Saccharomyces cerevisiae S288C: one gene and its partners. The gene in region 1 interacts genetically with each later gene. Each region holds a gene or a part of one and is shown on either strand. Other genes may lie near its edges.

Region 1 (2,930 bases):
TTTACGAGCGGAGTACGGGTTTCTGAAGAGATTGTTGCCATACATTGACATGGACGCACAATATATCAGAGTTGTTGATTTGGAAACCAATGCTGACAAGGCCCAGAATTTAAAAGCAGAAAAACTTATTGTTATATTTGACGAATTCTCAGATTTGAAACTCATAGAAACCTTCTTCCCCTTGGCGAATTCCAATTCAAACATAATCGAGTTCGTATTCTGTGTTCGCAATATAAAGAGTTCGTTTTATTCACCTTTGGAAAAATTACATATTGCGAACATAGTCGCAGATATTGATATTAACACATTGTATCTGGACTTCGTGGATTCAAATATCTATTCGGATCAAAATTTCTTTGGGATTTTTGATCCCGATATTTTTCAGCTGATTAATAAAAACTATAGAAACTTCTTTTCTAAGACTAACGAAAAGGGGAAGAAAAGACCCCCCATTTGCAAGAAAATCTGTTTTCCCTTTGTTGAAACATTGAATTTGGATTATATGGCCCTTGATTCATTCTTTAATTCGATACTGCATAAACTAACAACAAAGATAAAAACATTTGAAAGGAACAATGAGTTTGACGTGGATAAAAATTTAAATTTAAACTCGACAACGACAGTAGCAGCTTTAATTATCAAGTCGATCTTGCAACAATTCTTCAACAATTTTCATATCAGCTTCCCTAATTTGGTTACCTTGAATTTTATTAAGATGTCTACCTACCCAAACAATAATGAGATTACCCAATGTTGTAACTTCATAGATTTATCTTCATATGTTCTAAACAAATGTTTAAGTGAGAATATCTCGATAAATTTCCTCTTTCAGTTGCACTCTTTGAAAAATTGGTCAATGCCCAAGATTAAAGAATTCACTGGGCACAAATTCAAGTATGACGAAACAACATTTTCAGGTTCACCAGAAAGGTACATCAAATCATTGAGGGGAAACATTAAAATTTTGCAAGAAATGGCAATTAACGAAACCAACGATGGTACTTGCTATTTCAGAGTCAAGTTGATACCTGAGGGGGTAGAAAAAACTCAAATAATCAACTGGATCCCCTTTACTTCTTCATTTAGCGATGATACCTTCAAACAAAGACACCATTTAAAGAGGCCAATGATTTGCTTGAAGAACAACTCTTTAAGATCGCTCACTGTCAAAATCATACGTATTGAAAAATGTTCATCCATCCGAATCCAGGGATTTTACCTACCAAATCTGCAGGAACTGTTCATCAACAATACCCTTTGCGACACCACCCAACACCAAAAACAAGCGTCAAATGATATGAGTTGTATAGAGTTCACTTCATGGAATGAACTACCACAATGCAAGAAATTGGGATTTGCTCAATTAGAGGACGACTCTAACTACGTTCTTAATATCAGTAACCTACAAGACCATTTACCAAATCTGGACCTGCGGGAGAGTTTCCCAACTTTCTTCGATATAAGACAGAAGTTTGTCGTGGTTTGAGGTCTAATTTTCAACCAAACGTGTTGTACTAGCATATATAATTAAATAAATTTCTCTAGTTATCACTTGATTTATCTAATAAGAGACGTCATAAACGAATTTTTTTTTAGCAATAAATCCTCAACGCTTTTTGTTTTCATTTTTCGGTCTTTTTCTACCATAGAAGATAAACAAGTAGAGCCCATGTAATATAATATATCTACAACCTATTATTACCCAAAACCAACAAAAACCCTGACAGTGACACCCCGTTACACACTCACAATTAAGTAGGGATGATAAAGTCAACACTAATCTACAGAGAAGATGGGCTGCCTCTTTGTACGTCTGTGGACAACGAAAATGATCCCTCATTATTTGAACAAAAGCAAAAGGTGAAAATCGTCGTTTCCAGATTGACACCACAGTCTGCCACGGAGGCTACTTTGGAAAGTGGCTCCTTTGAGATCCATTATTTGAAGAAATCCATGGTGTACTACTTCGTCATTTGCGAATCTGGATACCCAAGAAACTTAGCATTCTCATACCTTAACGATATAGCGCAAGAATTTGAACACTCATTTGCTAATGAGTACCCCAAGCCTACCGTAAGACCATACCAGTTTGTAAACTTTGATAACTTTCTACAGATGACAAAAAAGTCATACAGTGATAAGAAAGTTCAGGACAATTTGGACCAACTAAACCAAGAGCTTGTAGGTGTCAAGCAAATCATGTCCAAGAACATCGAAGACCTACTTTACAGGGGAGATTCTCTCGATAAAATGAGTGACATGAGTTCTTCTTTGAAAGAAACATCCAAAAGGTACAGAAAGTCCGCGCAAAAGATCAACTTCGATCTCTTGATCAGTCAATATGCTCCTATTGTCATTGTCGCTTTCTTTTTCGTCTTTCTCTTCTGGTGGATCTTCCTCAAATAGACGTCACCCCATCATCCCACATCACAAATCCCGATCAATTTGGTCCAAGTGTATAACATAGTCTAGTTCAGTATTAGTATAGTATGGCAATTTATTTGACATAATTACGTATTTTTCAGGCAAGCTGGCAGGTGACCCGCCGCACCTGCACTTTTTAGGGAGTCTTTTCAAGGATATCATCACTATATATCGAAGGAAAAGAGGCTTTCCAACTCTTTTGGATGATCGAATTGCCATCACTACTCTATTAACTGTCTGTGTATTAACTAAATAATCACATAGTATTAAGTTATAATTCCTGGAAAAAAAAAGAAAGCGAAACGACAAAATTAGCATATACCATGTCTCAACTGCCAACAGATTTTGCTTCATTGATCAAGAGATTCCAATTTGTTAGTGTCCTCGATTCCAACCCTCAAACCAAAGTTATGTCCTTATTGGGAACCATTGACAACAAGGATGCTATTATCACGGCTGAAAAGACGCACTTTCTATTTGACGAAACCGTGAGAAGACCCTCTCAA
Region 2 (4,066 bases), on another chromosome or scaffold:
TGGCAAGCACTCACTCCGGGCCAGATTTACACCATGTTTGTAGCGCATTTAAATCAGGAAATGCATTATATTTCACTCTCTCGTCTAGCGAGTCTTAATGTTCATGACGGGGGAGCTTTATGCCTTGTTTTTTATCACAGCGCCAGACAATTGACAGTAACAAATAAAGGCAAAAAACCCTTGAATAGCACCAGAGGTGTTTACTGATTGCTTTTAAAGTACGTATAAAACTGTAAAATATAGATTAAATTCGACCGCCATTACTTTAGAGTTGAAATTGGGAAGCCGTATATTGCCATTTCAGCCATGCTTCTATGGTTCCTAATGGAAGCATGAATGACATACGCAATTTGATGAGCTTGAAAAGGGCGTAATTGACAAGCCAGATTTGAATCTAATCCCTTGAGAAATTATCTGCAAGTAGTAAAAAAATCTCTAAAAGATGTATAATTGAGTCGCCTAGAGACCTCATTCATCATGATATTTGACACCTTAATTTTGATAGTAGCGGGTCAGTCATTAAGAAGAAAGTGAGCTGGGGCTAATCATCAACGATCTCCCATAATTACGTACGTCAAAGACAACACGTTGGCAAAGGTAAGAAGAACGTAGTGCGTATCATGCTTACGGTGAATTTCACCCTTTTTTTCTGTTATTCGTGCTGATCCACGGGGTATTCAATTGAAGATATTATCTTTATCATCATATCGGTAAGCGTCTGGGAGAAGCAACTGGTCAAACGTTTTCAAAAACCATTCTTTAAACAACAAACCGATCAATGTTCTTGATCAGCTTATCAATCTATCCGATCTCCTGCGTTCAGCGTGACCGCCACACTTATGTCTAGATAATTTAACTTCCAGTTGCTAATTTCCCGCTAAAGTATCTTATGTTTACCATCACTGTAGCCGCCCTATCATATGCAACACTTCCATACTCATTTTCGGAATAAGAAGCAACTATCATCTAACGACTAGTATTTATATTACTGGTATATTACCATATTGGGTATAAGACGGTCAAATAAATATTGAGAAACAGTCACCAATTTTAATGGAAATTGAAATGAAAGGGTTGATAATGTGCTAGGAAAATGAACGAGAACATACAAAATGAAAGAAGAAATAATAATATTCCTACACAGAAATATCGGTTCTCTATTGTGGATTTTCATATTCTCGAGGAGAACCTCTAGTACATTTTGTGTATCTGGTATCACAGCGCTTGACAACTATAGAATTTAAACAATTATCTCATTCTTCATCCATCACTCAATCATATATATTAACCCCGGAAAAGTGCATTTTTGGTTTCTAATAACATTTGTATTAGTAATATTTGTTTACCCAACAATTCAAGAAATTTAGCTCGCGTGGCGTAATGGCAACGCGTCTGACTTCTAATCAGAAGATTATGGGTTCGACCCCCATCGTGAGTGCTTTGTTTCTTCTTTTTTGAATATGCTAATTCTAAATTTATAGGAAGAGTTGGATTTTCCTTTAGTTAGTTGTACTCTTGAAGTCCATTTTCTTTTTATACGTACATTAGATCGATCTCGCGATCATGGCTTCAATGTCTAAAAATATAGCGTAGTAACATACTGAAAAGAGAAGCACAGAAAAAATAATCATAGAAGTGTTAGGACATTTGAGGGAACATATTTCAACAATAAACATAATCATTGAGTAAAATGGAGCTGATACTAAACAGCCTCATTTCTGATGATTTAACAGAGGAACAAAAACGGTTAAGTCTTGATTTCCTACAGGATATCCTACAATCTAACACGAAAGACTATGAAAGTTATTTTTCATCTAGGGCTGTTCCTGGTAGCATAACTGAAGACATAGCAGAAATTGATGCTGAATTATCTGCCCTTGATAGAAAGATAAGGAAAACACTACTAGATAATACGTCTCAGATTATCGGAAATATTCTTGAAAACGATGATAGGGCTCAATTGGATGATATAGCCAAGTCTTTGGAGCAATTATGGGAATTGGATACTAATATTAATAAGGCAGCCGATCGAAACGTTACAAATGACGATATAAACAATGAAAGCGTTTCTATTGATGACTTTTTGGAAGACGATAAAGAAGACAACGACACAGGTCGCATCATGACGACTGAGAGTAACAATCTGGCAAGAAAGAAGAAGGAGGATGAGTTTCACAAGGCATTAAGTAGGTTAAGAAACAGAATTTCAACTAAAGAAGATGACAAGGACGACATTAGATCTGACACATTAGTCACTGTACTAGAAAATTTGGATAGCATTACGGATTTGATGGAACTACCATTTTTGGCCCGCACATGTATCAGAACAGGTCATTACCAGGAGGCCGTCATGCTATACACACACACTACTTCCCTGAGGTCAAGATTCCCTGGTTCAACCATTGTGGATGAAGTTTGCGAAAAAGTTTTAAACGAAATTAGTACTACCATGTTATCCGGGCTGGTAAAATTACTGTCTACTAATGTATCAGTAAACTCACTAAAGAAAATACTACAGTACTTGAATTCAATTCCACCATTTGATGGAAAGACTAATAAATCATTATTAAGTGTGTTTTTAGCCATGAGATACAAATTCATTACCGATGAAATAGCATCATATCCTTTGGACGTTGAGTCTTCTAATGAATCTTTAATTGAAATGATGGTTAAGAGGAAAATTGAAGTCCTCAGGGAACATGTCTACATGTCCTTGAATGTCTTTCTGAAAAGCTTCTTGTATGATACAAATGACTTAGAGATTCCTTTCCCAGAGGAACTAGAAAGTACTGTGCTAAGGATAAATGGGACTAACGAAGAGAAAGAAATTGAAGAAAAGGAGAAAGAAACAAAGAAGGAAGAATATCAAAAACAAGATAGCGTAGCGAACAATGAAGAAGATGTGACAGAAAATAAATCGATAGAAGATGTACAAGAGGAAGTACAAGGCAAAGTGGAAGGCGAAGATGATGGAGCAGAAAGGAAAACAGAAAATGAGATAGAAAATGAAACAGTAAACAAAACAGAAGACAAGGCTGAAAAAGAAAAAGAGGAAGAAGTAAATACCAAAGATAACAAGGCAGAAAAAGAGGAAGAAGAAATTAATAAGGTTGAGGTGACCCCAGAAGAGCCAAGCAAAAGCATAGATAACAAGGCAGAAAAAGAAGAAGAAGAAATTAATAAGGTTGAAGTGACCCCAGAGGAGCCAAGCAAAAAGATTCGGACTTCAAAAAGGGAAAACAAAATACCTACAAATGCAGTCATGTTGCAATTCGTTGATAAGTGCATAACATACGTATTAAAAGACCTCACTCGTGGGTTAAATAGCATCAAGCTGAGTGACTCCGTTTGCCTGCAGTTGGTGTACTGTTCATTCCGTCTTTGCGACCTGAATCGAAACTACCACCACCTCTTCCTAAAAAAAATCAATGACACTAGCTTGTTTACGACCGAGCAGCTCGCCCGGGCAATTGACAAGAGAGCAGAACTGGCCTCTAAATATATATACTCCTAGTATAATATTGGCTCACTATGTATTTTCAAAATGACGATCGTCCGAAATTTCCATTTTTTTATTTTTTTTTTTCACTTCTTCGCCAGCGCGAGAAGGGGGAGAAACAACAATACGAGAATGTATGTATACCTTTACAACACACTGCTGCAGTCAGAAAGGGAAAAAGGGATAATTGTACCTTACATCCTTTAGAATTGCACTTACCTTTTCCAATTGCGATACATTTCACTTTGATAGACAACTTTGCTTTTTAGCGTTACTTAATTTAATCAGTTTTCTTCTTAACAATATAAAGAGCATCATTAGCTAGCTTTGTTTATTGACATACGCAATATTGCTAGAAAGAAAATAAGTAGAGCTACGCATTGAAAGTCAAGAAAAATGACTGGCATCAAAGCTCAAGTCCATCCCCCACCTGATAGTACCCTATTTCATGAGGAGGAGAAGAAGAAAGTAGGAGGCAATTTACCTCAAAAGGTCATAAATCAACAAGAAAGGGGTTCTGATCACGCTCCATCGGGTCACCATCAATACCACCAACTGATTAACCAT
Region 3 (5,866 bases), on another chromosome or scaffold:
CTTCCAGAGTACACCAATAACTCTTCCTATAAGGGAAAAAAGAGAAACTATTCTCAGGAACAAAAAGGAATATCTTTGATAAAAAATCTGGTGGTGTCAGAGTTGACTGGCGTCTACGTTTTGGCTACAACGCTAATGGTTAGGTCCCATCTCCCTTTTGAAGTATCACAAAGATTAAAGGAGCTATTGGGTGGAAAGTTTACCGTCCCAAACATTGTCATAGATTCTTGGTTTGATGAAGTCTACGCTTTTGCATGTGTGTTTACCTTTATTTGCATAAGAATTGCAGAACGAAAGCTTTCCACCAAAAAAGTCAGTGTTGAATAACTGGAGTAGTATGTCGATGTTCGATGTTTATGAGATATGTATTTATAAAATTAAATGTCTGTCGGGTAGTTTATGTAGGGATGAGAAAAGTAGTATAGGTTCATGAAGAAGTACAACTTTTTTTCATTTATGCAAGGGCGTAAAAATTATGGATGGTTACTACTAATGATCAAAGTAACATTAATGCAATAATCAACCAAGAAGAAGCAGAGGGGCATGAACATGTTATGAATACAAAAATTCACGTAAAATTTGATCGTCACTTAAATTTTCCTTGACAATCATATAAACACCTATTAATAGGTTTGGAAAACGCTTGGTGAAGTAATCGTAAAATCCATCGGGTACCGGCCCCATTAGTTCTGCTATATCTTCAGGTAAATCCATAAAATGATGATATTTATTCCTAAGTGCTCTTAATAGATCCATTAACTTTGATGAATGGTATTTTCTGTACCTTTCAAGGTTGTCCATGAATGTTTTATCAAACTTGACAGTCCAATCTCCACTGGGTATTACAAAGTCAGAACCGGCGTCAAATTTCATTAACAGGGCACTTGGAGGGTCTCTGTTTTCAATTTCAAGCCTATCACTAACTTTTAAAAGGAACTCCAATTTTTTCGACTTTGGCCAAAACAACGGATGCCTTAGAACTTTCATAGCAGTAGGTCTTTTTAACGGATCGTGATCAATCATTTGGGAGATCAGATCTGTAGCTTCTGCAATTAAGGATCTATCATGTAGACATTTCATTTCATCAAGACTGAATATTCCTCTTATGATATTGCTTTCACGTGAATATTTATCTCCAAATGGATGCTTCCCTTTGGATAGGATATAATAGAATACACATCCCATAGAAAAAATATCAATAGATCTTGTTAGCCTCCTCTTGGTGAACGGATCATAAAAAGAATCAGATGAAACTACTGTATGCCTACTAGAAGAGTGTTCCGTTTCGACTTGGCACTGCAAATTGTTTGATTCTTCAAGCAGCTCTGGGGCCCTCCAACCACTTGTGCCAGAAGGGTTATTCAAATTTGTTCTAAATGAAGACTGACCAGAGTCTAGTTTTTTGCAAAGACCAAAGTCTGATATCAAAATTCGAAGATTTTCTGCTCCTGTTTGCTGATCGGCAGTAAACCTACTCGAAGTAGAAACGAGAATATTTTGAGGCTTTAAATCTCGATGGATAATCTTTAAAGAATGTAAATGTGCTACCCCGGACGCTATTTGTCTCAATAACGAAATTGGATTATACTCTTTCTGTAATTTCAGGTTTTCATCTGATACATTCTTAGACTCCACCAAATCTTGAAGGTTCAAATTGCAGAGCTCTAAAGCAATATACAAAAATCTGTCTGTTGTTTCTGAACAGTAGTATCGTATGACGTTAGGGTGATCATCGCTTTCAGTCAAAAGTTTTATTTCCATTAAAGCTATGTCACAAAAATCAATTAACATTCTCTTTACCGCAACAGGTCTTCCTTGAAAACTTCCCTGAAAAACTACTGTTCCTGATGAACCGTAACCTAAAATTTTTTCGGATACTACCAAATTTTTTAAAGATTGCTCAAAGTTTGGTATATTTGCAATGCGTGATTTTCGGCCCTTTTTGCCTCCTCTCGAACCTCTTTTCCTCTTCTTCTTTTCTGTGGTTAAATCTAGTGATTTTTCATCATCTTCATCAGCATCATCGTTATCTTTTTCAGATTTTAGACTTCCATCGTTCACAGCACCTTCAAAAACAACTTGCTTCCCTGATTTCATATCGAATGGCTTGGTTACATTTTCCGATGAAGAGGGACAATTTAGCGATTTCGACTCAACTATGGGGATTTCCTTTTCAGGCATAAATCCAATTTTGGATAATAATACATATAGTGGCGGCAAAATTTTGAATCTTTGTAGTATTGCACAAAAAATGAGAAATAACAACAGAAATACTCCAGTCTCTATAATTCGATATACTAGACTTCCAAACTTCAGTAGCAAAGAATTTTGGTTCTTTTCATCTAATTCTCTCGATATTTGCTCGTGTATCTTTTTTCTATATGCCTCAAGGTCTTCTGGTGACATGTATTCCTTTAGTGAATTCATCTCGTTATTCTGATGTAAATCGGTTGTATCAACGGACGAATCAATCATCAGAGGTGGATATTTGTGCGTAGTGTCCAAACTATTCGTTTTTTCATAGTTTTCATAAAGGTGATCATATTCATTATTATATATCTGATGAACACCCATGATTGCGTTCTTGAATAAAGTCTCATCTTCAAAAATTGAAGACACCCTCCAACGGTCACTGGAAGCGTATCTTGATATGGGAGCTGATTCGACTAAAGATGGAAAATTCTGACTAGATAATGCAAACCAGGAGAGGTTCGAAGTCTGATCCAAGTAAACTTTGTTACTCGATATACTTTCATGATCACCAGGATTAAAGGGATGCGGTACCAGTATATTTTCATTGGTGCGGAGATCATTAAACACATCGAAAAGCCCAACAATAATTCCGGGGAATGTCGGAGAAACCCATCTAGCAATTCTAAAATCTAAATCGCTTGCTAGCAATGATTTATCACGGAAAGGCGCTATGCACATGCCGTCCTTTGAAAATGTATTCTGAAGCGCTAGGGGAACATCTAAAACATTTTGCTGCCATGTAGAGTAAGTGACATTGTAGCTTGCTCCATCATAAGAGTGAATTCCCAGCTCAAAAATAGTTTTGCCTATTACAATCATATTTTCACATTCCTGAAGTTTTATCTTCTCCTCAGGTGAGCAATCCACACTCTGGCTCCCGAAATACCCGTTTTTTGAACCAGGTCCGAACGCTGATATAATTTCACCATTCAACATGTTTATAGTATACATTATAGTTCTCATCGATCCAGTGTAGACCTTTTCATCTTCAACAATTTTTCCAGAGTCATTAACCACAATATTTGTTTTCAAGTGCAGCGGGGAAGTTGATACAAGTTGTCGTATGGATAAAGGCAGTTTTTGTAACCCTTGATGGGCGTTAAAGTAGTAAATGTTCCCATCACCGAAAGGTTCTATAATCAACGTTTCATATGTTTCTAACCTCGAAGGTTCTTGTATTTCTATCAGAGGTTGAAAATTTTCTGGTTCGATTGACCATATGATATGACCATTTCTTCTATCTACAGCATGAAGTCCACCCTCAACGTCGGCTGCGATTAGTATATCTGATAAACTCAGTTCGTTCAAGGAACGATTCTCCAAATAGGGTACACTTATAGAATTGGCAGCCCTACGTCCTTTTTTGTTAGCACGTCGATTATCAGCAGTATTCAATAAGTTAGGAGTTGGATATGAGCTGAGTTTCATATTTGGTAAACCTTCAGTGGTTCTTGGAGCAGGAATGGGCGAGTTTATATTTTTATCCACACCATAGTTGAAATTGAGCTTTTTAGTGGAGGCAACTTCATCTTCCACTATCTGCCGCCTTGAGGTGCGAGACGACAATGGGATTGAGCATGAAATGATGGATGAAAACACACAAACGAGCAGTGTCAATACTAACATGTTTCTTCGAAGTAGACGCATTTTTCAAAGTGCTAAAATATTAATTCCTCAGATATGCTGTTTTTTTAATGTGTATGAAGGGTGATATGGAGAAAAGTGATAATGGACGTGGGGAAGAGGAAAACGATGCTTTGTGAATGAGAAAAAAAAGTTACTTAGCAGATTACCGATTATTAACAGTGCCAGTTATAGTGTAGATTTAATTGTGTAAAATTAATATTGTTATAGACTTTTCACTGTTAGTTTATGTGAAGTTGGCTCATTGATCTCCTATGATATGTTTTTCGTTTATTTCTTGTTACTATGTGATTAATCTCTTTTTTTAAATTTTATTGTTGGAATAGTCGAAGGTATTGCCCGAAGAGGCTTACGCTCCGTCTTGATTTTCGGCAATAAAATAGCGAAAACCTATTATATAACAGAGGGTAATAAAACCTCAAAACTACAACTATCAATATATTTCACACTACGCAGCTTAATTAGTAACTGTATAATAGCATTTAAGTTCATTACTTCTTTGTAATTTTATCTTTTTTTTTTTTTATATAGTTTTCAGCGCGCAGCAGAGTTTCATTGGAACGCTTCGCACGTTGGAAGAATAGAACTGTCCCTAAAAGCCCATTAGTCCTTCATTGAATAACCGATCTCTTCAAAAACATCCTTAATTTTGCATTGCTTTTCATCAGCAATTATTTGGGCCAACCTTAAACCGGCATCTCTCAATTCGTTGTACTCCTTTAACTCTTTAATGTACGTCGAGGAAATTTTTTTTGGTGTCTCATCACTTTGACAAGTTCTGTTAATAACAGAAACTAAATATTTTTTGTTTGTTATACCGATTTTTGCCGACTGGAAAAAATAGCTACATACTTTTTCTTTTCTTTAGACAATTGCTCAAACATCTTTATCAGGTTGCCATTCATACTTTCGTATTCCTGTATCTGTTTTTGCTTTTTATTTAACTGTGTTTCCAAATAGTTCATACTTGCAAGTTGTCTTCTGTTTATGGCAAGGATAAGACCATTGCTTTTAATTTAAAATTATTCTTATACTCTGTCTTTGCATTTATGAAGCAGAAATAGAATAGCCGCCATTAGGCAGAACAATTCCGTCTGATGTGATAATGCAAAGTGTGCCTGTCATCTAACTTAAAAGGAATCAGGCCAACCGCTACAGGATATGTACTAGATACAATTACTAAATAATACAAACAGAATATATAAAATGCTATTAAGATAGATCATTTGCGTCCCTCTCAATGTTGTCCAACATAGTTTTCATATGATTTAGTTGCATTTCTGTTATTTTGATACTTTCTGATAATTGCTGCAATTTGTGTTCGTCATCGTTTCTCAACATAGCACGACCTCGAGGTGATATTGCACTCCCTCTGTTACTGATCCAATCCCAAATATCGCTTTCCCTTCCTACAATAGGACTCTTATCCCTTGCGTAATTTACATTTTCTCTCTTCTTCTTAGATGATATGGCGTTTTCATATGAGTTATACAGTGTGCCGAAACTGGGCACGTAATTATATTCTTGACCATCAATCAGCAGCCTTCCTGGCTTGATGATTTGAAGATTATTTTTTTCTTGAAACACGTGAAGCCGAGGAGACCAGAAAAGCATAATGGTCAACCCCAAGATCAAGAATAGTTTTTGAGGACTCAGCAATTTGTTCATAAAAATTTCTGAACTAAAATTATTCTGAACGAAATCCAAAATATGAGTTAAAATGTCTTTATTATCATCGCTCTTACGGCTTTCGGAACTTTTCTGTTCAACCTTACTATGGAAAGGCCTATGTTTATCATGACTCTTCATTACTTTCTTCACCGGTTTTTTGCTTTTTGCCCTGCTAATAATGTCTCTTAACTCGGATAGCATGTAATCGACAGAAACCTTCTGACCCTCAACAGATCCTTTCTCAATTGCACCTTTCAAAAATGATTTACTTGTCCAGTTGATTTTTGTTATAACGGTC

What was found.
Region 2: mutations in SEC22 (region 1) and COG8 together harm fitness more than expected from each alone (negative genetic interaction), as found in Saccharomyces cerevisiae (5 studies listed by BioGRID).
Region 3: mutations in SEC22 (region 1) and IRE1 together harm fitness more than expected from each alone (negative genetic interaction), as found in Saccharomyces cerevisiae (5 studies listed by BioGRID, with this or other methods).

Annotation. Positions count from the first base shown.
Region 1 is NC_001144.5:678,439-681,368, forward strand, and holds SEC22 (SNAP receptor SEC22), read left to right. Parts: upstream 1-1,761; coding exon 1,762-2,406; downstream 2,407-2,930. Other genes in the region: BOP2 (Bop2p), read left to right, coding at 1-1,486; DCS1 (5'-(N(7)-methyl 5'-triphosphoguanosine)-(mRNA) diphosphatase), read left to right, coding at 2,748-2,930. UniProt on the Saccharomyces cerevisiae protein: Nonessential SNARE involved in targeting and fusion of ER-derived transport vesicles with the Golgi complex as well as Golgi-derived retrograde transport vesicles with the ER.
Region 2 is NC_001145.3:129,197-133,262, reverse strand, and holds COG8 (Golgi transport complex subunit COG8), read left to right. Parts: upstream 1-1,690; coding exon 1,691-3,514; downstream 3,515-4,066. Other genes in the region: TCB3 (Tcb3p), read left to right, coding at 3,896-4,066. UniProt on the Saccharomyces cerevisiae protein: Acts as a component of the peripheral membrane COG complex that is involved in intra-Golgi protein trafficking.
Region 3 is NC_001140.6:257,692-263,557, forward strand, and holds IRE1 (bifunctional endoribonuclease/protein kinase IRE1), read right to left. Parts: upstream 3,901-5,866; coding exon 553-3,900; downstream 1-552. Other genes in the region: YHR078W (uncharacterized protein), read left to right, coding at 1-327; SAE3 (Sae3p), read right to left, coding at 4,501-4,663, 4,750-4,862; LAM4 (Lam4p), read right to left, coding at 5,110-5,866. UniProt on the Saccharomyces cerevisiae protein: Senses unfolded proteins in the lumen of the endoplasmic reticulum via its N-terminal domain which leads to enzyme auto-activation.